Callithrix jacchus: one gene and its partners. The protein of the gene in region 1 interacts with the protein of each later gene in a pairwise test. Links are inferred from orthologs where the notes say so. Each region holds a gene or a part of one and is shown in the gene's direction. Other genes may lie near its edges.

What was found.
Region 2: the proteins of FSD2 (region 1) and PPP1R18 interact in binary tests that used the Homo sapiens proteins (3 or more experiments, as listed by UniProt). The two-hybrid records come from large-scale screens. The link is inferred for Callithrix jacchus from reciprocal best matches to the Homo sapiens genes FSD2 and PPP1R18.
Region 3: the proteins of FSD2 (region 1) and PBX3 interact in a two-hybrid assay, tested with the Homo sapiens proteins (3 studies listed by BioGRID and IntAct). The two-hybrid records come from large-scale screens. The link is inferred for Callithrix jacchus from reciprocal best matches to the Homo sapiens genes FSD2 and PBX3.
Region 4: the proteins of FSD2 (region 1) and CDC73 interact in binary tests that used the Homo sapiens proteins (3 or more experiments, as listed by UniProt). The two-hybrid records come from large-scale screens. The link is inferred for Callithrix jacchus from reciprocal best matches to the Homo sapiens genes FSD2 and CDC73.
Region 5: the proteins of FSD2 (region 1) and ESD interact in binary tests that used the Homo sapiens proteins (3 or more experiments, as listed by UniProt). The two-hybrid records come from large-scale screens. The link is inferred for Callithrix jacchus from reciprocal best matches to the Homo sapiens genes FSD2 and ESD.
Region 6: the proteins of FSD2 (region 1) and BRD8 interact in binary tests that used the Homo sapiens proteins (3 or more experiments, as listed by UniProt). The two-hybrid records come from large-scale screens. The link is inferred for Callithrix jacchus from reciprocal best matches to the Homo sapiens genes FSD2 and BRD8.

Annotation. Positions count from the first base shown.
Region 1 is NC_133507.1:24,078,676-24,082,553, reverse strand, and holds the start of FSD2 (fibronectin type III and SPRY domain-containing protein 2), read left to right. Parts: upstream 1-1,416; 5' UTR 1,417-1,658; intron 1,659-3,878. Other genes in the region: WHAMM (WASP homolog-associated protein with actin, membranes and microtubules), read right to left, coding at 805-1,416.
Region 2 is NC_133505.1:35,482,941-35,487,224, reverse strand, and holds the start of PPP1R18 (phostensin), read left to right. Parts: upstream 1-1,484; 5' UTR 1,485-1,776; coding exon 1,777-1,835; intron 1,836-2,621; coding exon 2,622-4,254; intron 4,255-4,284.
Region 3 is NC_133502.1:174,328,328-174,332,627, forward strand, and holds the start of PBX3 (pre-B-cell leukemia transcription factor 3), read left to right. Parts: upstream 1-1,500; 5' UTR 1,501-1,724; coding exon 1,725-1,924; intron 1,925-2,840; coding exon 2,841-2,914; intron 2,915-4,300. UniProt on the Homo sapiens protein: Transcriptional activator that binds the sequence 5'-ATCAATCAA-3'.
Region 4 is NC_133519.1:50,418,129-50,421,628, forward strand, and holds part of CDC73 (parafibromin), read left to right. Parts: intron 1-632; coding exon 633-774; intron 775-1,568; coding exon 1,569-1,605; 3' UTR 1,606-3,500.
Region 5 is NC_133502.1:69,264,981-69,268,996, forward strand, and holds the start of ESD (S-formylglutathione hydrolase), read left to right. Parts: upstream 1-1,216; 5' UTR 1,217-1,493; intron 1,494-1,589; exon of another isoform or gene 1,590-1,669; intron 1,670-1,767; exon of another isoform or gene 1,768-1,793; intron 1,794-2,346; coding exon of another isoform or gene 2,347-2,457; exon of another isoform or gene 2,458-2,480; intron 2,481-2,662; exon of another isoform or gene 2,663-2,733; intron 2,734-4,016. Other genes in the region: uncharacterized protein LOC144581368, read right to left, coding at 2,347-2,457.
Region 6 is NC_133503.1:36,576,837-36,580,336, reverse strand, and holds part of BRD8 (bromodomain-containing protein 8), read left to right. Parts: intron 1-145; coding exon 146-268; intron 269-389; coding exon 390-470; intron 471-892; coding exon 893-957; intron 958-1,913; coding exon 1,914-2,050; intron 2,051-2,563; coding exon 2,564-2,782; intron 2,783-3,173; coding exon 3,174-3,318; intron 3,319-3,500. UniProt on the Homo sapiens protein: May act as a coactivator during transcriptional activation by hormone-activated nuclear receptors (NR). Isoform 2 stimulates transcriptional activation by AR/DHTR, ESR1/NR3A1, RXRA/NR2B1 and THRB/ERBA2.

The DNA of each region.
Region 1 (3,878 bases):
ATAATTAAGATTTTGAAATGTAGCTGAACTCTTCTCTTCACCTCCCCTTCCTTAATGAACAAAAAAAAATCATTCAGGTTAATAACAGCAGTAAGCCAAGATTGTCCCACTGCACACCAGCCTGGCTCTCCTTAGTAAACTGTGGGCGTGGATTTAGAAGGCATATTTTCTCCTAAACCCTTCTATGAACTTGTACTTCCCCCTCCCCTTAGGTTCGCTAGGTGTACCACTCAATAACTCCTTCTCAAACTACCTCGTTCAAGCAGCACTCCTGCAGTTATTCCAAACTGATGACTAAAGTTCACTTTCACTTTCCCTCAGCCAAGTCTTTATCACTTAAACAAAACAAAACACCTTATCTCTTAACAGCCATTTCTTCCGTTAAACCATTTTATCCCGTTTGTGACATTCCCTCATATACAGACTTGGAACGCTTACATTTAGTCCGTGTTATTCTTTCCTACGTGGATGGGTTGTTTACAGTTTTGCTTGCAATATTTCTGGCATTTCCCGTTACAACACCCTGTTCTGCCAGCATCTCCAGGACAAAGGTTGGGAGCCTAGCCCAGCTCCGAGCTGCAAGTACACTAGGCTCTAACTTTGTCCGTCCTCTCTGCAGGCCCTCCCGGAGCTCCCGCCCGTTTCGCACAGCGGTCCCGCGAAGGTGAGAGCACCGCGGAGCCCGCGGCCTTCTCCACCCTCCGGCTCCTCCTCGTCAGCTGGCAGCCCGGGCTCTGGGCGCCCGGGGAGCTTCCCACAAGGTCCCAAGCCTAGGCAGCGCAGACTGGGCCCGACCTCACTTACCTGGCGCAGCCGCGCGTCCGCTTCGGTCCACCGCGCGCGCAGGGCCCGTTCCCGGAACTCGCGCAGGCTCTCGCAGTCTGCCGCGCCGCCCTCAGCCGGGAAGAGCGCGTCGCGCACGGTGGCGCCACCGCAGCCGTCTGCCGCCTCGCCCAGGTAGCGCTCCAGCCGTCCACACAACTCCCGCAGCGCCGCCTCTCCGGGCCCCGCGCGCGCCGGCCACAGCAGCGCCCACAACCCAAGACCCAGGCCCCAGGCCCCGCCGCCGCCACCTACGTCCAGCTCCGGTGGCAGCCGCGGGAAGCAGCGCTCTAGAGGCGGCCATAGCGCCGCCAGTTGCCGGTGCGCGCCGCGGAACCCCGCGGCCGAAAGTAGGCCGGCCCAGCTTGGGGGGGACATGGCGGCCTCGGGCTCGGGCTCGGGCTCGGGCTCGGGCTGGGCCCCCTCGCGTCGCCACCGCCGCTGCGCGGTGCGGTCGTGACAAGTCACAGCGAACTTGCCCTCCGCGCCGTTCCAGGCCACCAGGAAGCGCAACCGGTGCCGCTCGGGCTCGGCGAAGAGGCCCTCTCGGACCGGCACCCAGCCCTCCAGGCTGTCAGGCTGCTCGTCCTCCATGACAGTCGGCGGCAGCGGCTCTAGGGCTCAGCGGGCGCGGGACTGTCCTCCTCGCACCCCCTGTCACGAGACAGTCCGAGCTGAGGCATTTTTCGCTGGAATCGAAACCGCGTCAGTGTCCCGGCAGCGACCCGGTCCTCGGCACTTCTGATTGGCTGGCAGCCGGAGGCGGGGCTTAAGTGAGGCGTCCGTCGGGAATGGTTAGGTGATAGAAGGGAGGGTCAGCTACAACCAATGAAAAGGTGAGGTGGTCTCCCTCGGACGTCAATCATTTCGCAACCTGGTCGGGAGTCTGGGAAATACAACGCTTGCCTCACCTTTTCCACCCAATACATGCGGACTTTGGAAAAATATCTTTAAATGGGCGAGTTATTATCTTAGCCTCCCACACTAACCTATGAACTTCTACGAATAGGGACCAAGCCGATTTCCTCTTCTGTCATCAGGGCCCTATTGAGTACATGGTTCCCGCCCTCAAGACTGTCACAAATGTGCTGGGAAGATGAAATAAACTTGATAGTCATTTATTGAGGGCTTCTAAGTGCCAAGTACTGGACAGAAGCCACAAATTTACTTTTATTGAGTGTCGGCTGTGTGCCAGTATTGAGACGATGGAGTAAGAGGGAGAATTCAGGGCACCACAGCTTCCAGCCAGGGTGTTTAAATACAATCTTCATTCCAACTCTTCACTTTATACCAAGTACCAGCTCGGCCATAGAGACCCCCATCCAGGCGGCGCTGAAGGAACTGAGAGGCAGACACCCAGATAGAACAGCAAAGTGGGCTTATGGGGGTGAGAGGCGGGGAGGGCAGTGGCCAATAGGCTTCTGAACTGAGAGCCTCAGGGGCCGGACAGCATTCCGGACTGAAGGCCCCAAGTAGACTCTGACCCATGCATTTATTCTCCCTGAACAGGTGATCACTATTAACAAACAGGTGTTATGTGTTTTCTCATAACACAAAACACGCCAAGTAGACATCTGGTGCCCGCTTACAACTGATCACAACCTAAAAAGTATTCTCCGTGAGGGAGCCACGGGGGCAGGTTCTTAAAGAACTGTAACCGGTTTGTGATATTTATACATTGTCCTGCCACTTTGGAATGCCCCAAGTAGTTTTCTACTTGGCGGGGGGGGGGGGGGGGGTGGGGCTGTGTGCTGGTTTTCCTTGCCATCGTTCTTCCTAGCAAACGATATATTCTGTCATACACTCGGCATTCATCAATATTCATAAACTTAACATTTCTCAACATCAATATTCATAAACTTAACATTTCTCAACAACTTTAGAGTTAAGGAAACAGAGGCCCAGACTAACTTAAGATACACCAAAACTCAGGCTCAACATGACTACCTGGCTACTGAAGGCCTGTTTAAGGAGATATCAGGAAATCCAGTTTCCATGTCAGGGTGGAGTTGGATCTGTTCATACAATAAGGACCAAGACCGCCCTCGTCTCTGCCTGGGAAATGTACAGTGTCAACTGAGAATTATATTTTGTGCTTTCTGTTATCCCCAAGGGCAAACAACAAGCAGGAGAATCTCTGGAGCCTAGGAGGCGGAGTCTGCAGTGAGCCGAGATTGTGCCACTGCACTGCAGCCTGGGCAGCAGAGTAAGACTCTGTTTCAAACAAACAAACAAAAAGTCTGTTTTAAATATCTTTCTTGTATACTCCTCACATTGTATCATTTTACTATCTCTTTTATACTTTGTAACCACTTCTACTAGTTTTCTAATCTATTTGTTTTTTCAAGAGGAAACTAATCTTTCTAATTATGAAAGTGTAGTGAGTGGCCCGGTGCAGTGGCTCACACCTGTAATCCCAGCACTGTTGGAAGCTGAGGTGGGAAGATCACTTGAGGTCAGGAGTTCGAGACCAGCCTGGCCAATATGCCCAAACTCTGTCTCTACTAAAAACACACGCACACACACACACACACAAATTATCCAGGCATGCTGCATGCCCTATACTTCCAACTACTAAGGAGGATGAGGCACAAGAATTGCTTGAACCCAGGAGGCATAGGTTACAGTGACCGAGATTGTGCCACAGCACTCCAGCCTGAGTGAAACAGTGAGACTCAGTCTCAAAAAAAGAAAAAAGTCTCCTCTGTATATATATTAATATATGTCTTAGCCCATTCAGGCTGCTAGGACGGAATACCATAGACTGGGTGGCTTATGAACAACAGACATTTATTTCTGATAGTTCTGGAGGCTGGAAAATCCAAGATTAAAGCACCAGCAGATTCGGTGTCTGGAAAGGAAGGGCCTGTTTCTTGGTTCACAGATACTTGTATTTTTTTTTTTTTTTTTTTTTTTTTTTTTTTTTTTGAGTTGGAGTTTCATTCTTGTTGCCCAGGCTGGAGTACAATGGCGCAATCTCAGCTCAACTCCGCCTCCCAGAAGCAATTCTCCTGCCTCAGCCTTCCAAGTAGCTGGATTACAGGCGTGCACCACCA
Region 2 (4,284 bases), on another chromosome or scaffold:
CTGGTCTTGAACTGCTGACCTTGTGATCCGCCTGCCTTAGTCTCCCAAAGTGCTGGAATTACAGGCATGAGCCACCACGCCCAGTCTCTCTCCCCCTGAATTCTAAATCTTTAACATCCAGGCCCTGGCTGCTTCAGGCCAGAGGCTCAAATCCATGGACTAAAGGAGTTGCCCCTTCCACTACTTGCTACTTTATTCTCTGGGTCCAGCTCCATACTCTAAATTCTGAGTTTCAGCCACTGAACTCCAAGAGTCCACATCTCACCAGCAAGGAAGAGCAGGGTATGGAATTCATCTGTCTCCTCACTGTTTAGGGCATGGCATGCTCCCCTTCAACAGTCTCCTAGAAGGAAAGGATCTGCCCTGACCATTCCGCTGGCGGGCACCATTGCTTCTCTCTGTGCCTCTGGGATCCCCCTCCCACTTCGCCACCTCTGGCTTCCACTCCGAGAAGCTGGACCAGGGTCTGCAAGTTCAAAGGCAGTGGCTGTCCCTCCAGGCCCCACACCTTGCCTCAGCACTCCCGGCCCTAGTGTCTGCACCTCCTTAGGCCCTGCCTCTGAACCTAGTCAAGAGGATTCTCCCGTTCTTAACTTGGGGCTTCCTGTTCTGGATGCTCTGCAGGAAAATAAAAGCCTGATTTTTCTACGTACTGCATGTAGTCTGTCAGTGTCTCCCAAGCTGCAGGGCTGAGTTTGGGAAGGAAAGCCAGAGGGAGCCTGCGAGCCCGCGAAGTGGAGTCTGGGCAGCCACCACGCCCTCTGGCAACCGCTGGCCTTCGACCACCGCGCCCCCGCTGACCCGCCCCCACTTTGCCAGAGAGGCCGGGTCCCCATTCCTTCAAATCCCCTTCCCCCACTCCCCAACCCCGCAGCTGACCAAGAGACTCATGGGAGGCAGGTTGAAGCTAGAAAGAGTGGGGACAGCAGCTCTGGTAGGAGAACGAGCTTCCAAAACTGCTGGCTTCTGAGCGCCTCTCCTGCCGCCCCCTCCTCAAGGCCTCCTGGTGGCTGCCCTCGACCCGGCAAAAACAAAGACTGGCCGGAGAAGGCAAAATCGCGGGGAGGGCTGAGAGGCAGGAGATGGGAAGGGCGGGCCCGGCTCCTAGCAGCTGCCGCTTCCTCCCAAAGTCCCACGAGGGGCCTGAGTCACGGGCCACCGCCCTGGGTCGGCGAGCTGGGGGAAGGGATCTGGACACCTGGGTTCTTCAGGGCTACCGGGAGGGAAGCGGTTGAGGGCCCCTGGGGACACAGAGCAGAGGACCAGGGGTTGGGGCGAGTAGGGGGCAGTCCCAGAGCCAGTCCCACGCGCGGTGGGAGGGAGCCCCGCCCTCCCCTCGGGCTCCGCCCTGCGCCCCCTTCCCTCTCCTCATTGTCCTTAGACAAAGCGGTCGCCGCCCCCGCCCGGCCCCCTGATCTCTGTCTCCGTCCCTCCTCCTTTGCTGCCTCTTTCCCTCCTCCTCTCCCTCCTCCTCCCCTCCCTCCAGTCTCCGGATCTCCCTCGGTCCCTCTCTCCTCCTCTTCCTCTCTCTGGACGCCCGGCTCCTCCGCACCCCCTCCCAGGGGGGCCCCACGGCGTGTGAGTTGACTGAGGGGCTTAGACTTGGGGAGGGGGTGTCTCCTCGCTCCCGTCCCTGGCCCGGACCTTGGCTGTCTCCTCTTTGTGCCGAGATTGTCAGTCTGTGCAGCCAGAGCGGGGTGGAGACAGCTGGCTCTGTCACGGCTCCATGAGAGCGGGGACCGGGCATGGGACTCGCAGGCGCTGGAGAGAAGAGGCATGGAGCCGGCCCTCGGCACTCCGGGGTCGCCGGGCGCAGACGGCGGGGGAGGCAGGCGGTATTGACGGGACTGGGTGGGGGTGGATACCAGGGTTCTGGGAACGCGCTGGCAGCCCCGACGCCCGGGTTCCGAAAGTCCCGGGGTGGGTATTTCCCCCGACCCGCCTCGGGGGCGGAGTGCGGGGCAGAGGGGTGGGGGCTGGGGAGAGGCGTGGCCCCAGCGGCACTGGAAGCGGAGCAGGGACCTTTGGGGCCCGCGCTGAGACGCTCCCGGCCGCTACCGCCGCGCTCCCTTCCCCTCTTCCCTGGTTTCCCTTCTCCCCTAGACCTGCTCGCTCTCCGCTCCTCCCTGCCTCCTCGACACCCCCTCAGGTCCCGTTGCCCTCCTCGGGAGGGATTCCCGGTCCTTCCTTCCCACACTCACCTCCCTGGGGTATCGCTGAGGCAGCCAGGCCTGCACCCGGGTTCCCCTCATCCCTGCCCCTTTTCTCTTTTCACCCTCATAGCAACTTTTCTTTTCTCCCATTCTCTGTTTCCCACATCCTAGAGACTGTCTTTAATACGCATTAACCCTGTACTGCCACATCTGGCTCCTGTCCTCATTGCCTCCAATCTGGACTCTTCCTCTCACATCGCCCCCACCACCCCCAACTTGGGCTCATAACTTCTCTTCACTTTTTCCATTTCCCCTGTTCTCTGCCGTCCCTCTTTCCCTTGGTCCTCATCCTCAGCTCCTCTGCCCTGCTCGTGGTCCCACCTCTCCCCCTCCACTTCCTCCCCTCCCACCCTCAGTCTCACTCCCTGGGCCTCTCTGGAGCCTCTTCTTCCTGTTCTCTGCCCCCAGTGCTCCCTACCCTCACCTCAAGGCGACCATGACCACCATCCCAGACTGGAAGCTACAGCTGTTAGCCCGGCGCCGGCAGGAGGAGGCGTCCGTTAGAGGCCGGGAGAAGGCAGAACGGGAGCGCCTATCCCAGATGCCAGCCTGGAAGCGAGGGCTTCTGGAGCGCCGCCGGGCCAAGCTTGGGCTGTCCCCTGGGGAGCCTAGCCCTGTGCCAGGGACTGCAGAAGCCGGACCTGCAGACACAGATGAATCTGCGGTCCTTCAGGAGGCCATCGGGCCAGTGCACCAGAACCGATTCATCCGGCAGGAGCGGCAGCAGCAGCAGCAACGGAGTGAAGAGCTGCTAGCTGAGAGAAAGCCTGGATCTCTGGAGGCCCGGGAGCGGAGACCCAGCCCTGGGGAGATGCGGGATCAGAGCCCCAAGAGAAGAGAGTCAAGAGAAGAGAGACTAAGTCCCAGGGAGACCAGAGAGAGGAGGCTGGGGATAGGGGGAGCCCAAGAGTCGAGCCTGAGGCCTCTGGAGGCTCGGGACTGGAGGCAAAGCCCAGGAGAGGCGGGAGACAAGAGCTCCCGACTGTCAGAGGCACGGAAATGGAGGCTGAGTCCTGTAGAAACTCCAGAGCGGAGTCTGAGACTAGCAGAGTCTCGAGAGCAAAGCCCCAGAAGAAAAGAGGTGGAAAGTAGACTGAGCCCAGGGGAATCTGCCTACCCGAAGTTGGGCCTGACAGAGGCCCATAAATGGAGACCTGACTCCAGAGAGTCTCAGGAACAGAGTTTGGTACAACCAGAGGCAACAGAGTGGAGGCTGAGGTCAGGAGAAGAAAGAAAAGGCTACTCAGAAGAATGTAGGAGAAAAGAAGGGAGGCCAGTTCCAGGGGTGGCCCCAGAAGAGACTACAGAGCTGTCAGAGACCCTGACAAAGGAGGCCCAAGGCAGCAGTTCTGCAGGAGTGGAGGCTGCAGAACAGAGGCCTATGGGAGACAGTGAGAGGGGCATGAAGCCAACAGAAGGGTGGAAATGGACCCTGAACTCTGGGAACGCTCGAGAATGGACACCCAACGACAACGAGGCTCAAACTCAGAAACCAGAACCTCCAGAGTCAGTGGAAAAGCGTCTGGAGCCTCCCGGTGTGGAAGCTGGAGAAGGGGAGGCTGAGAAGGAGGAGGCGGGAGCTCAGGGCAGGCCTCTGAGAGCCCTGCAGAACTGCTGCTCTGTGCCCTCCCCCCTCCCACCAGAGGACGCTGGGACTGGAGGCCTGAGACAGCAGGAAGAAGAAGCAGTGGAACTCCAGCCCCCACCACCAGCCCCTCTATCTCCCCCACCCCCAGCCCCAGCTGCCCCCCAACCTCCTGGGGATCCCCTCATGAGCCGCCTGTTCTATGGGGTGAAAGCAGGGCCAGGGGTGGGGGCCCCCCGCCGCAGTGGACACACCTTCACCGTCAACCCCCGGCGGTCTGTGCTCCCTACGACTCCCCCAGCCACCCCAGCCTCTCCAGCCACAGCTGATGCTGCAGCCCTGGGGGCTGGGAAGAAGCGGTACCCAACTGCCGAGGAGATCTTGGTTCTGGGGGGCTACCTCCGTCTCAGCCGCAGCTGCCTTGCCAAGGGGTCCCCCGAAAGACACCACAAACAGGTAGGGGAACAGCCGAGCCAGACTTCTTAG
Region 3 (4,300 bases), on another chromosome or scaffold:
AAAACGTATCGTTGTAATGAAGAGCTCGTTTTTGCAGCTTCAGTTCGTCTGGAGGCATCGAATAGCAAACGCTGCCAAAGGAGTAGTCCCTGGATTACCAGGAGTTGCAGAGTGTGTAAAGTGTTGTAAACCTGAAATTAGTCCTGGACTGCAGGCATTTTCCCTTCTCCCAGACTCGCTTCCCTATTACACATTTCCCCTTTCAAGGGAGTCTGTGGCACTCAGGTCCACTCAGCTCAGGCCTCAAGCACGCGGGACCAGGGGCTACCACCTTAACTGGTCACTCCTTGAGGGACAGCACCAGGCCCGGGTGCTGGCGCCGACATTGAGCGGCGCCCTCTCGGTTACCATGGCGACCGCGGGTGGGGCGGGGCCCCCACTCGCCGCTTCCCCGCCTCTGCCCAGGACCTTTCGAACGCTCCAATTGGGACAACGTTTTCTTGCCTCTGTCCCGCCCCGTTCGGCTCCGAGCGCTTTGCGATTGGCCCTGGACGAGCGGCCTGGTACCCAGAGGGCAACACCTCCTGACCGGAAGAGCGGGAAAGTGCACCAGGCGTTGTCCGAGGCGTGAAGCTCACGAGTGCGGCGGGGGGAGTACACAGTTGGCTTTGGAGCAAGTTGTCCTCTGTCCCATACACAAGCCCCGGCGCCCATGACTGCCAACAGCAGGGAGTAGGCGTCGGGGTCCCGGCACAGCGTTTCTAGGCCGGCCAGGTCCATCTCCGGGGGCGAGGACGCGACAAGGATGGAGCGAGAATCAGGCGGCGCACTTCGAAGCGCCGGGGCAACAGACAGGCCAGAGGGGACGGGCCGGGCCGCGGGGGCGGTGCCGGCGGCGGCGGCGGGAGGCGCAGGGCCCAATGAGCGCGCGCACCGCCCCGGGGGCGGGGCCTGAGGAGCGCTCCCCCGCCCTCGCCCGCCCCGCCCCTCCCCCCGGCGCGGGGCCGCAGTGAGTGAGTGGCACTGGCAGCCTGTCAATCCCTCAGCCCAGCGGCCTTCCAGCCTGGTCCGCGGCGGCTGCTGGCTGGGTGCGCGGCTCCGGCGGCGGCGGCGGCGGCGACTTCTCCCGCCCCTTCCATCCGCTGTCCACTCGACGCGTGGCCCGCTGCGGCCCTCCTCCGGGCGCCGCGCCCCCGCCGCCTCAGCCCGCCCGCTCCCAAACTTTCCTCCTCCGCCCCCCTCGCTCCCCGCGGCCCGCCCGCAGGCCTCCTTCGCCGCCGCCGCCCGCCGCCGCCGCTGCCTCCCCCGGGGCCGCCAGGGCTCGGATCCCGCCCGGCCGAGGCGGCGGCGGCGGGCAAGGAGGACAGTGCGCAGGCTGGCGCGGGGGGCGGCGGGCGTCCCGGCAACTCGGCCGGCGCTGAGGAGCAAGTTGCTCGGGGCCGCCCGGCGGGGCGCGCGGCGGCGAGGAGGCGGCGCGGCGGCCGCGTGAGGGCAGCGGACGCCGCTGCCTCCGCCTCCACCACAGCCGCGGAGCCGGGCGCTTCCGCCCGCCGCTTCTCCTCAGGTTCGGCGGCGGCGGAAGCCGGAGCCGGGCGCCGGTCCGCATCGCCTCAGCCGCGGGCCCTGCTGGCCGGGCCGCCTCCTCCCCACGCGGGCAGGGAGCGCGCGGCCGCCTCCCCCTCCCCCTCCCCCTCTTTCTTCTCCTCCCTCGCCGCCGCCGCCGCCGCCGCCGCCTCCTCAGCCTTCTCCTCAGCCGCCGCCCGCTCCCGCCCGCGCGCGGCGGGATGGACGATCAATCCAGGATGCTGCAGACTCTGGCCGGGGTGAACCTGGCCGGCCACTCGGTGCAGGGGGGCATGGCCCTGCCGCCTCCCCCGCACGGCCACGAAGGGGCGGACGGCGACGGCAGGAAGCAGGACATCGGCGACATCCTCCACCAGATCATGACCATCACCGACCAGAGCTTGGACGAGGCGCAAGCAAAGTTGGTGTCGTCTCATTAAGCATCTTTTGTGTGTGTGCTGGTGCCGGGCCCGCGGCCGAGTCGGGGCCGGGGGTGGCGCCCGGGGCCGGGGCCGCAGCCCCAGTCGAGGAACTTTCTCTGAAAGCCGGCCGCCCGCCCGGGCCTCGAGGGGGACTCGCCCGAGCCCCCTGAAGCGGGCGGGAGTCGGCAAAGTTGCTCTGGGGGGATCAGGACGGACTCGGTGCGGCACGGATTCAGTGGCGTCCTTTCCCCCGTCCTGCCCCTAGCAGCCCGGCCCCCTCCCACGGATTTAAACCTCCGCTCCGGATCCCCGTGCCGGCCGCGCCACCGGGAAGTGCAACTTTCTCTTCTGGCCGGGAGTCCCGGAGCCGACTCCCCGTGGCTGCGGGACGACCTCGCCATGCTTACGGGCCTCCCGGTCCCGGCGCGGGGCGATGGGCAATTCCCTGGCGGGTCCGGGTGCGGACGGCCAAGTTCTCGGGAAGGGAGGGCCGCCTTGCAAACTTTGCCGAGCTGTCACCCGCCCGCTGGCCGCAGTCGGCCAGCCGGCCGCGTCGCGCGCCCGCTCCCCCTGTACAGGAGCCGTCTCGGGAGCCCCCTCCCCACCAGTTCTCTCCCCTGGTTCACCTCTGCCAGACCCCGGGGCGATGCTCCCCGAGTGGGTTCGCGTCTGCGGTGGCTGACGCTGCTGCCTGTCGGGCAGATGTGTCCGCCTTGTTCTGGCTGCAGCTTTCGCCGCCGGGACTTGCTGGCTGTCGGGCACTAGTCAATTGGAGTTTTTGTTGACTTCCCAGGGTTCAAAAGGGCCTTCCAGAATGGGGGGCCGGAATTAATTCTTGGGTCTAACTTAAAGGAAGGCGCCATATTATTCCATAGGTGATGCTAATACCTTTGTGTTTTGTTATTTGTTTTTTAGGAAACATGCTCTGAACTGTCATAGAATGAAACCCGCGCTCTTCAGCGTCCTGTGTGAGATCAAAGAGAAAACAGGTAAGACGCTGTACCCCGCAGTGGGCCTGGAGACCCCCAAGGTGGGGGTCGGAGCTACTCCTTCGACTCTCCAGTTGAGAGCTGCTGCTTTTGGGCACCGCCATCTTTGATCATTCTCTCCTTCCCACGTCCTGATCTTGAGAAAAAACTGCAATAAATCTGGAGTCGATTTCTCAGTTCTGCTCCTAGTGTAAAATGAAGTGTAGGTATGGACCGGGCTGGGTCGCTGTCCCTAGGCAGCCACCCCAGGCTGCAGGCGGGGAGGGGGTCCGGAGCGCCAGCCGCCCTCTCTCCTTTCGCCTTGTTTGTGTGTCAGTTTTTAAAAGGAGCAACGGGAGACTGGATGCCAGGACCGAGTCCCCGGGAGAAGCATCGCCCGAACTTTGTTGTACTTAGACAATCTTAAGCTTCAGCTGCAGGGTTAGAAGAATAGATGCAATTGAACAGACCCCGGTAGCATGCTTGAATTAGTGTTTTAGGTGGGAAGACTATTTTAGAGAATTGAGGACCGGTAATGATGTGTAGATATATACAATGTATTACACCTGTTAATAGTTTTATTATTTTGTATCCTGAAGTCGTTACACTTGTAACTGTGCTTTTAATATATAAAGTCTATAAAGGTCTACAGATGGCAGGTTAAACAATTTTGAAGTGTCCAAATCAGGGAATATATAAGAAGATAGGTTTTGCAGAAGTGCTGGAATGGAAACTACAGGTACATATTAGGCAAATTTTTGGCAATTCGTTTCAATTTAACTTTCTTGTCAGACTTTTTTGATTGAAGGTCTTTTAGTCTTGAAGTGAAGTAACTGCTCAAATTGAAGTAGAGATTTAATTTGGATGTTTTAGTTTGTATTTGGCATTATCTTCCCTGTATGTGGCAAACAAGTACATTAAACAAGCTCTACTGTTGATTTTTTTCCTGTTCTTTTCTTTCTTCTTTCTTTTTTTTTTGTGTGTATGTTGTATATATGGTATTTTAAAGTTGCAGTTTTGAAAGTTGAGGCAAAGGAGAAAAAGTTGAAGTCCAGGATTTAGCAGTATCCAAGGGATGCTATTTAAAAGGTTAAATGTGATTGTGTTTAAATTGAGTGTACAAATAGCACAGTGCAAATAATTGTTAGGTTGATAGGCGAGTCGGCTTTCTTTGAAACAGATTTTTTGCTTTTCAGTACTATTTGGATCCTAAAAGTAATCAAGAAAAGATGATAAGTTATTGCTGTCTGTTAAACATACATGGTAAATCATAATAAACAGCAAATAGTAAGGGAGCCTAAACAGTACTTTTCCTGCTTTTCATTCACATATTATGGCTGGTTTCTTAATGCTCAGTGATCCTTTTTTGAATTACTAACTTTTATTTTGTGCTGATTTTTAGCTACC
Region 4 (3,500 bases), on another chromosome or scaffold:
AGGCATAATCCTACACCAGCAAAAAAAATTAGAACTTGCTGAAGGCTCAGATGATTGTCAGCATTTTTTAGCAACAAAGTATGTTTTAATTAAGGCATATACATTGTTTTTCAGACATAATGCTATTCCACACTTAAGGTAGACTATGACATAGTGTTAATGTAGCTTTTATATGCAGTGAGATAGCAGGAAATATGTGTAACTTACTGTATTATGGTACTCACTTTATTGCGGTGGTCTGGAACTGAACCCACAATGTCTACAAGGTAAGGTTGCACTCTTGGGTTTCTGTAATAACCTAGTACCCTTACAGTCTTTCTTATTGTCCTTCACTGGACCATATGCATATTATCTTACCTTATTCCTCATTTTAGTCTCCAGTGCCTGGCATATATAAACCCTGAATATTTTTAAATATAATATTTTTAAAAAATCACTTTGGTTGTACTATGGCTTCAGTTGGTGGAAATTTTTTCTTTTTCTTTTTCTTTTTAGGTTTCAGTTTAATGTCTTGAATTCATTCCAGATATTAATTGGATTTGGATTTGTAAAAAATTTTCTGTAAAATGTTTTTATAATTTTGTTTATATTTTGAGTAAAAAATTCTTTCTTCTCCCCACCCCACACTGTAGTTAAAGCCTTCCATCTGAAATATGATGAAGTTCGTCTGGATCCGAATGTTCAGAAATGGGATGTAACAGTATTAGAACTTAGCTATCACAAACGTCATTTGGATAGACCAGTGTTCTTACGATTTTGGGAAACATTGGACAGGTAATTTTTATTCTAAAATGTGTTTATCTGTGGTTTATTGTAATTTTTCTGTCTCCTCAATTAAATTTTAAGTTCCATAAAGTTGTGAATCTTACTCCCTATTTTCCTTCTTTCAACATTAATTTGATGTTTATCTTCAGTAAATAATTAACAAAATTTTATTGTATAATTACTTTAGAAAGGGATGGAGAGTTAATAGCCTGATAGAGGGAACACTAAATTGAGTCAGAAGACTTAGACTTGAGTCTTGCTTTTGTAATCTCTAATGATCTGTGTGACCTTTTTGAACCTTATTATCTGTCCAAGAAACTTTGGATTAAGCGCCCTATGTTTTTGCAAGTACTGAAAGATCTCTGATTCTGGGTTCGTCTGTGTTACACATAGTTCATGAAAAGAAATGAAATTTTAAAATTTATTTTGATTACTAGTATAGTGTTGATAAAACCCTTTAGTAACAGTTTTGTAATTGGCAGATTTAAGAACAGCGTATGTTCACAGTGAGTACCACTGAATCCATTCTCTTTGAGGTGTGCTCCTTAAAATCTGTAACATCTTGGTGTAAGTCTCTCACAATAGATGTGAAAAATATATATCATTTTAGCTAGAAGCTTTTAGATTATATTACTTAAGAGGAGTGTTATTTCTAGCTTATTCCAGAAGTCCTTATATTTTCAGTTTTCTAGAAAACAACATTCTGTTGATTTAAGAAATGTCAACTTATTTTTACATGCGTTATTCTAAAAATTCCGAAATTTCTATAGTCATTATGACCTACCATCATACTTTTTTTTCAGGTACATGGTAAAGCATAAATCCCACTTGAGATTCTGAATTATTTGGCTCCTCTGTTTCTGGAAATTGAGACTCAAGCTTTATGAATTTATCAAGAACTTAAAGATGAAGAAGGTCACAGATTGATCTTTTATAAAACCTTACTCGATGCTTTGTGCTTCAAGGAGATGATGCCTGTCATCCATATAAGCAAACTTTTTGGCTTACAACTATTTTTTTAATACTAGCCTTCTAGTCTGTAATGGAAATTGTATATTTTGATAGAAGTTTTTTCTCCATTGGTTAAATTAGCATTACTTAAAAAATTTGTTTCTTTAGAAAATAAATGCAGGTTATAAATGTGTGTATATTTAGAGATTATAAGGCTCTCTGAGCCATCTTGCTTCTGATTTTTCATTGCTCTCTAATTCTTTTTACTGAAAATACTGTGTGATGAATGGTATTAAATTTTAGTCTCTGGAACATCCAAACCAAGCAGAGGGATGTGACCATTTTGAATGAATCAGAATGTCAACCTGTATGTACACTATATCTACACTTACTCTTTATTTAAAAAGAATAATGAAAAATCAAGAACAACTCTTCAATTTGATTGAACTGTTCAGCCTTTTCAAGATTTCTTTATTTACAAATGATAACATTTAATGAATGTACGTTCTTCTCACTGACTGGTGATTTTTGAAACTTAGAATGATGTGTTTCTATCTGTGATATCTTTCCGTTTGAAAAAAATTTCAAAACACAGATTAAAACCATAATAGGCTGTAGTATTTTTTATTTTGGGAGCCACAGTATGATTTGGGGAAGGAATATGTATCAGCCCTATTGCAGTATGTCTTTAAGCTCCTTTTCTCTTTAGTCCACCTTTGATTCTAATTTTTATGGTATAGGATTTTGAGTCTTCTGTTTTAGGTTTAGGCTTGTCAGTCTTGGAGTTCTTATCTTCCATTATCCCTCAATATTGATAAACTCCCAGACACCAAAGAACACATTTGCTTAATTGAAAAGAAACAAGAGAAAAACACTGGTATTTTTGTGTGTGTATTAAATATGGTATAAAATATAAAACCTATATTTTAACTTAGTAAAATATTTTACTATTTCTCTACTTTAGACAAAATGTTGCCTCCAAGGTACAACTGACCATTTTCCTTGAATCCTGATTTTGCTCTTTTTACTTAAAAGCAACTGGAAAGCTTTACTTTCCCAAATTGTTTTTGCCATCAGAATTTTTGCTGATCACAGTCTTAGGTCATTTTTTTCTTCCTTGTTATTCCCAGCAGTTCTTTCCTAGGTTAACATATTGTTGGCAAACATTTATCCCTTTCATAGGTGTTAAGCTGACATTATCTAGATTCTTTATGAAATTTAGCACTGTCACAAAAACGAGAAGAAATTATTTACTTTTAAGTAATCACAAAGTCCATACCACTAGTAACTAGAAAAGGTATTTATTTACACGGTATCTACAAGGCTGTTCAGAAGAGAACAGTTGGCATTTTAAATTACTGGATTTTAGCATACCTAGAAAGTTTGAATAGATTCTACCCGTTTTCCTCCCTTTTTAGTGTCTTCTTTCCTTAAAGATAAAACTCAGATTTTTTCCCATTGGGCTTTCTTAGCATATAGATCTGTTTCCGGAATAAATTACGTGTTGTGTAAACTTTCTTCATGATGAAATAGTCAAGGACCAGAATCTGTGATATATGTATGTAAGATTACTTGTCAAGACTACTACAAGTCAATATGAACTACCTTCCCGTAAAGATTTTTGGTATTTATACTTATTAATGAACTTTACTTGATACAGAATATGGTTAAAATTAGGAACATCTACTTTGAATGAGGTTTATTTTTCTATTTTGAATTTGCCTTATGTATATTCAAAGGCTTATGGAAAAACTATAGAGGAACTTTAGGAAAAGGACAAATAT
Region 5 (4,016 bases), on another chromosome or scaffold:
CAGAATTCACCAGCACCCTGATCTTGGACTTCCTAGACTTTTAGAATGGTGAGGATTACATTTCTGTTAAGCTGGAACTGACTAATACAATCTCTTTTCTTATAGGCTTTAAGTATATTTGACGTTTTCTCAGTTTTGTTGCATCCCTTTATTACCTCCTTAAGATTATATTCCAATTTATTTTAGTTCAACCCAAGAGTCCTAAATCTTCTCAGTCACACATTCACATATAATTTTTGGACTATTTCTTTGGGTACTTAATATTGATCCATTTTTATTGATAGTTTCATTATCTAAAATGTCAATCTTAATTTCTGATTTCAGCTTACTTTGCTTCCATGTCCAAATAATTATAATTATATACACATTCTTAATATTTTAAAGAAATCAACTTTTGTGGATCAATTAACATTTTATTTATGCTGTGTAAAAGAGATTTTAGTTCTAATTATTCTCATATTGTATTAACACAAGAACCCTTTAGTAAAAGAACTTCACACTTAGAGTTCTTTGGCTAGTCCACCTCGAAGCAGTGAGGCGAATTTATCATTTAATTATTTATCTTTGTTCAAACATCAGTTCTAAAGAACTTGCAAACAGGTATTCATTTATTCTGTTTCAGTTTTGAAACTGAAGAAAATCCCCTTTTCAATTCTTTATTAGTAAAAATAAAGTTTAAAACAATTTAATGCTTTCTCAAAATAAAAACATTATTTTGATGAAACATTATTTTTAGTCTGAATTCCAATTGATTCACAGGTTCAGTCCACAGGTTAAATTAGTCCAAAGATCACTATGGCAAAAGGAGCCTGAGCCACACAATAGATTCTGGCAGGTAATCTTCTGTGTGGCAGCTCATCCATACTTATATCAGTTCCTATCACTACACAATTTGCAGGGCCCAGTGCTAGACATAAATGTGGGGCCCGGGGTTCAAAACTTATTGAGATAAAGTGTAGCGTCCTTCTGTTCTGGGGGCCGGGGTAAGAGCACAGGTTGCAGGACCACGAGGCCAGCCCCAACTATCAGATAGTGTATTTACAATGTCAGTCTAACCATTGGTGAAAAATATGTAGCTCTGTTGTAATCAGATTTAATTTCTCAAGAGGCAAAGTACACTCACAGTTTACTTAATCAGAGAGGCCAAAAGGAAAGATTTGCTGTAAATTATCAACCAGCAAATGTTACTTAGTTCAAGTTAATTTTTATTGAGGGAAGGAAGGAAGGAAACAGGAAAACTGATAGTGATCCCACTGCGTGTCGGTGACTGGAGATTTCAAAGGATTCTTGTTTAACTCCAGCTACCAAGTAGGTGACGTGGATAGACTTAGGACAGAGGAGTGGGGGGGAGTTGAAATTGGGCCCTAGTTTCTACGTAAGTGACACAGAAACCCTCTCCTCGAGTTAAGTGAAGCTAGACCTCAAATTTATTAATGCTTCGGGTTCTTGCTGGGAAGAGTCTGAGCACGCACAGCGGACTGCGCTCAGGCAAGGTAACAGGGATTAACCTCAAACGCCCCCCTCGTTGGTCCTAGTAACCACCAGGAGTGGAAAAGCCGGTGAAAGCAAGAGTCGGAGGGGACGCCCACGCGGAGGCTGCCGGGAAGCGCAATGTGCAAAGGGGCGAGGCCATGGGAACCGGACTGGGGAACCGGAGTTAAAAGCCAGAGTGAGCGGGACCGGAGGGGCGGGGCATCATATTGGTGGGGGAGGGCCGAGAGGGAGGCTCCGGCGGCCATCTTGAGCCCGTCTTTTACTTCCGGCTGCGTCTGCTGGTAACTCTGCCGCCGGAGGTAAGACTGGGTCCGGGTAGAGGCCTGGACATTGTCAGCCCTCTTGCGGCTCTTGCAGCTACGGCTGCGGCTGCGGCTGCGGCTGCGGCTGCGGCGGCACGGGTAGGCCTGATCCGGGCGGACACCGAGGCTTGCGGTGCAGATATCCGCATGCACGATCGCAGAGATGGCGATCACGGGTCCCTAGCGCCACCAGGCATGACAGGAGGCCAAGGACCTTGTCCCGAGACGCGGAGCCTCGCCCTTAATCCCTTTTCCTTCTCTGAGCCTCCAACCTAGTGTAACCCGGGGCGCTCGGGCGTGCATCGCATCCCAGGGGAAGGGCCGGTTTACCTACTGCCCGCTACATTTGTACAGCCTTTTCCAGTTTACAAAGACTTTTCGCATCCACCGCGCGAAAATATGAAGTAGATGTGCACGCATTTTAAGGAGGGAGCGGGCCTCAACGCGTTAGTAGCGCCCACCGGCGCCTGGTTTAGGGGAGTGTGGACCTGCTGCCCTGGGCAGCGTCCACGTCCTGGCACGACCCAATGGCGCGGTCAGCAGCGCTCACCTGGTGATGCCGAGGGGAACCCGCGTCTTTGGAGTTTGGCGAAATCCGTTCCGGTCGGAAACCGCTCTCAGAGCGCTGTGGGGGACTGGAAGTCATTTCTGATGAGGTCATCAGGGAAATGGGATTTGAGCCCACTTGAAGGATGTCATTCCAGGTTGCAGGAAAAATAATAGTTTTTGTTTGTTAGTGTGGTAGAGGCAGCGTTCCAAGCACTGTGTGAATTAACTCATTTAACTTCCAGAGCAACCCTATCAAACTGATATTACTGTATCCCCATTTGCAGATGGGCAAATGAGGCACAGATTAAATAACTTACCCGGTGTCAAGTAGTAATGAATGGTGAAGCCAGACTTTGAACCCAGAGGGTCTGGCCTCAGAACATGATCTGAAACTATTGTACTGTGGAATTGAGTAAAGTCACCTGATAGCAACATCCAGGCCATTCTAGAATTACGCATAGTTGGGTTTAGCTAACTTAATAGGAAGTGAGACCAGAAAAATAATGTGGGACCAAATTATAGACCATATTTAGAGCCAAGTGGAAGTGTTGGGTGTTTATAGATGTTATATTTTTCTAGTTTTTTCCCCCCCAGAGTGTAGTGGATATTCTGAGTTTGACAAGCCATGTGAATTTTTATAAAGGAGAATAGACCCAGCCTAGGCAACATGGCCAAACCTCCTCTACAAACAAATTAGCCAGGCATGGTGGTGCCACCTGTGGTCCCAGTTACTCCGGAGGCTGAGGCGGGGAGATTGCAGTGAGCCGAGATCACACCACTGCACTCCAACTTGGGCCACAGAGTTAGACGCTATCTTAAAAAATAAAATAAGACTATGCTTGTACACAGGTAGAATGTGATTGAAGTTTATATGGAGTTTTATTCATTCTTACCTTTTTTCAGTGATCCTTCATGGTTTTAATTTTATGAAACTTTAATGGCATTAAACTTGAAGAAAATTATAAAATTAACATGGTCTTCCATTTCGCTGACTTCCAGGTTCTCAGCTACTGGCCTAGCAGTGAAGGGGATTAGCAGCCTCCACCTGCAGCAGCCAGGGGGTGGTCAAGCAGTTCTCATCTGCTCACTATTGTGAGCTAGCAACTGTGCTTTTAATTATGACTAACGGATACTTAACTCTAGTGAAATACACACTTAGGAATGGTTGAGATAGTAAATTTTATGTATTTGTTTTTATCACAGTTTAAAAAATACTAAGTAAAAATGACTAACAATTACATGTAGGCCGTATTAGGCCTGCAGATGAGCTGTTTGTAGGGATCCATTAAACCGTAAATTAACTGGATTAAAACACCAGGCTTTAATCCCCATATATATATAATTAGGATGATGGCAGTGGGAATTCAAAAAGAATGTGACTTTGAGGCATCTCAAATGTAAGTTAGGCAAGACAGGCATTAGTCTGGAAAAGGGAGGCCATGAAGAGAGAGGAATGGTTTGAAGGTGAGATGTAGAAGCTTAATTTTAGATGTATTGAGTTTTAATAGCCGGTGACATGTCTTGGTAGAAGGTCCCAGCAAGAAATTTCATTATGGGCACTAATGCTTCAGAAAGATTGGTTATAGAGATGCAGATTTAAATTATTTCACCCAGAAAATATAGTTGAAATTTAGGGAATGAGGTTTAGGGAAAGAGAGTGTGAAGAAAAAA
Region 6 (3,500 bases), on another chromosome or scaffold:
TATTTATAATAGTGGGTGATTTAAAAACATAGCAGAAGTTATCTATGATTAATTGATAAAGAAGGCTCAGAGCAAGTGGGAGAGGGGATAAATGTTCTCTTATTCAAATATGGATTTTTTTTTTTTTTTTTTTCATTTTCCACAGACGGAAACGAGGTGAAAAAGGAGAAGTGGTGGAAACTGTTGAAGACGTCATTGTTCGGAAACTGACTGCTGAGCGAGTTGAGGAACTAAAGAAAGTGATAAAGGAAACCCAGGAGAGATATAGGTACTTATCAGAGAGAATGCCAAAAGACTGAGAAAGACATAAGAGGCTGACGTCTGGTATTGGTCAGATTTTTAGAATAGATTAAAAATCCATTCTACCTACCTCTCTTTTCTTCCTATAGACGGTTAAAAAGAGATGCAGAACTAATTCAAGCTGGACACATGGACAGCAGACTGGATGAGCTTTGCAATGACATTGCAATGTGGGTTATATTATATTGTTCTTCTGTGCTTGTTTCTTTTTCCCCTCTTTTCCCCTCAAGTAATCTGGCTTATTTCCTCCAACTGCCATCCCTTTAGACTTGAGACAGATTCTGGAAGGAGAAAACTGCAAAGCGGCTTGGTGGCTGGGAGGGGGGAGTGAGTCCTAGAAGGTAATATGATGGAACATTTCAGTATGAAAACATAACTTAGTTATAACTTAAAAGTGGCTCTAGTTTGCCTGAGTGAAGAAGTGGGAGTTAGACAGTATACCCCAGTTCCCTGTTTTGCTGGTTAGAATTCCTGTTTAGGCCTTTCTTCCAGAAAGCGCTGGCCAGGCAAAAAAATTTCTTTTTATGGGTTCTGTGAACTCTGGGGAGGAGCCAGAGCCTGTCTAGTGTCTAACTCTTAATTCCTTGTTTAGGAAAAAAAAATTGGAAGAAGAGGAGGCTGAAGTAAAGAGGAAGGCTACAGATGCTGCATATCAGGGTAAGCTGATCCTAGTATATCTGTTTAGCAGTTGATCGCACAGTACTGCAAGCTAATGACAGTTGGATTGTTTTGTAACATAGAATCCATTGGGTTAAATTTACTTGCACAGTTTTCTCTTCTGCTAGAATAAAAACATCCCTTAATGTCCCAGAAGAAGCTCCTAGAACATGAACTCTGCTCAGATCTCACTAGACCTTAATAAATAACTTTAGGATACCAAGGCTCGATAAGAAGATATTGAACATAATTAATGTTTTAGAAGTCAAAGGCCTGTGAAAAGATTGAGAATAGCTCAGTCATTAGATAAGGGGAGAAATGTAAGCATTTACAACTCTAGGAATAAATGCTGTGAGGTCTTTTCCTGTTTTTGTTCCCCCACCCCCGAGAGCTTGTTGTGCAGGCCTGAAGTGCAGTGGCATGATCTCAGCTCACTGCAATCTCTGCCTCCTATGATATTCAAGCAATTCTTCTGCCTCAGCCTCTCAAGTAGCTGGTATCACAGGCACCTGTCACCACGCCCGCCTAATTTTTTGGCCAAGCTGGTCTCAAACACCTGACCTCAGGTGACCCGCCTGCCTTGGCCTCCCAAAGTATTGGGGTTACAGGCGTGAGCCACCGTACCTGGCCTCCGTGTTCTTAAAAGCAGAGTATTAATAAGTCACTGAAGAGAATATTAAAGGGTATAAACCACTTTCCCACTCCGAGGACTTTTGGGATAACTAAGTAGTTTGAGATTGTTAAAGGAGTTTATTTAGTGTGAGAATTGCCCTTAGGAAAAATTAGGCTAAAAAGTTATCCATCTCCAGAAGTGTTAAAGCTTTCTAATCCAAACTCATTATGCTGCTTTAGTAATGCAACATTCCTATTTGTCCTTTATTGTATAATAGCAGAATAGTGTCAAGTTTCATTTATTTAATCTTAAAGATTTGGACATGTTTTCTTTTACGTTCTAGCTCGTCAAGCAGTAAAAACACCCCCCCGGAGGTTACCCACTGTGATGGTTCGCTCTCCTATAGATTCTGCCTCCCCAGGAGGTGATTATCCACTTGGGGACTTGACTCCAACCACTATGGAAGAGGCTACCTCTGGGGTGAGTATATTTCCAGCTGTAGAAATTGATCAGCTAAGGGGCAATAAGCCGGCAGAGCTGAGTGATGAGGAAACCACTTTTGGTCTAAAGGCAACTTCCTCTCTTGGTCTGAATGCTAAAGAATTTACCATGTTCTGTGCTCTGAGATAAAAATGGACCTAAAAACACTGAGGCTTTTGACCTTTTTGAGAGATAGGTAAAAGACTGTTTTAAGGAATTGTTTCATACTAGTCTTATGAAATTCCTGCTAAAATAAGGGACTGAGTCCTTGTAAATGTAATACTGGTAGTGGGTAAGGAGTTCATAAAAGGCAAGTTGGGTGGGATGTTTGAGTGGATGGAAGTGAAGCTTGTGGGGAAGAAAAGTATGGCTGAGAGCAGGAGGGATAGAGGCTTTCTGGGCAATTCGACTCAGGACTAATAAAATAATAGTTAGACACACTAACCCAAACAGATTAGTAGGGAACCTTCCATAGTTTGAGAAGTCAGATAAAGGTTCTCTGTTGTCTCTTAGGTAACCCCCGGGACTTTGCCGAGTACCCCAGTCACCTCGTTTCCTGGGATTCCTGACACCCTTCCTCCAGGCTCTGCACCCTTAGAAGCCCCCATGACCCCAGTAACAGATGATTCACCCCAGAAAAAGATGCTTGGACAGAAAGCAACTCCACCCCCCTCCCCTCTGCTGTCAGAGCTCTTGAAGAAGGGCAGCCTCCTGCCTACTAGCCCCAGACTGGTATGGAGACTTCTGTGGGTGTTTGAGAGCTGTGGTGATTTAGTACTTGGAAGGGAGTGCCTGGGACCTAAAATGTGACATGGGGAAAAAAAGTTCAAAAGAGGAAAATATCTCCTAATTATATGTTAATTTTTGAAAAATATAGTAAGTTGATAGTACCCTTGGGTCCTGAGGTCTCTGAATCAAAATTATTTTGGTTCTCTACTCCAGAGAACTCTTGTCAAATAAGTTTTGAACATTATAGTTTAGAGTTTCCCTTGGGTATTAAATTATTCTCTGTGGATGTTAACTGTTAGTTTTCATAAAGTTTGATCAACTTCTGGAGCTTTGTTGGGAAATGGTAGTAAAGGAAAACTTGAGTGTAGCCTTCACCTCTGTTCTTCCCTGGTAGGTCAATGAGAATGAAATGGCTGTGGCTTCTGGCCACCTGAACAGTACAGGTGTCCTCCTGGAGGTAGGCGGGGTCCTTCCCATGATACATGGTGGGGAGATACAGCAAACACCCAATACTGTTGCAGCCTCCCCTGCTGCCTCAGGTAAGTTACCACTTTTCCTTTATCTACTTCAGAGGTGTTGAACTTGACATTGACTGACCTCAATTTCAGTGTTTTTTACTAAGTAATTGTTAGTCCTAGTTTAAAGCCCAACTTTGTCTAACTGTTTTTGAAGCTACTTTACCTGGTAAACAATGTAGTGCTCCTGATTATAAAGCTGTCTG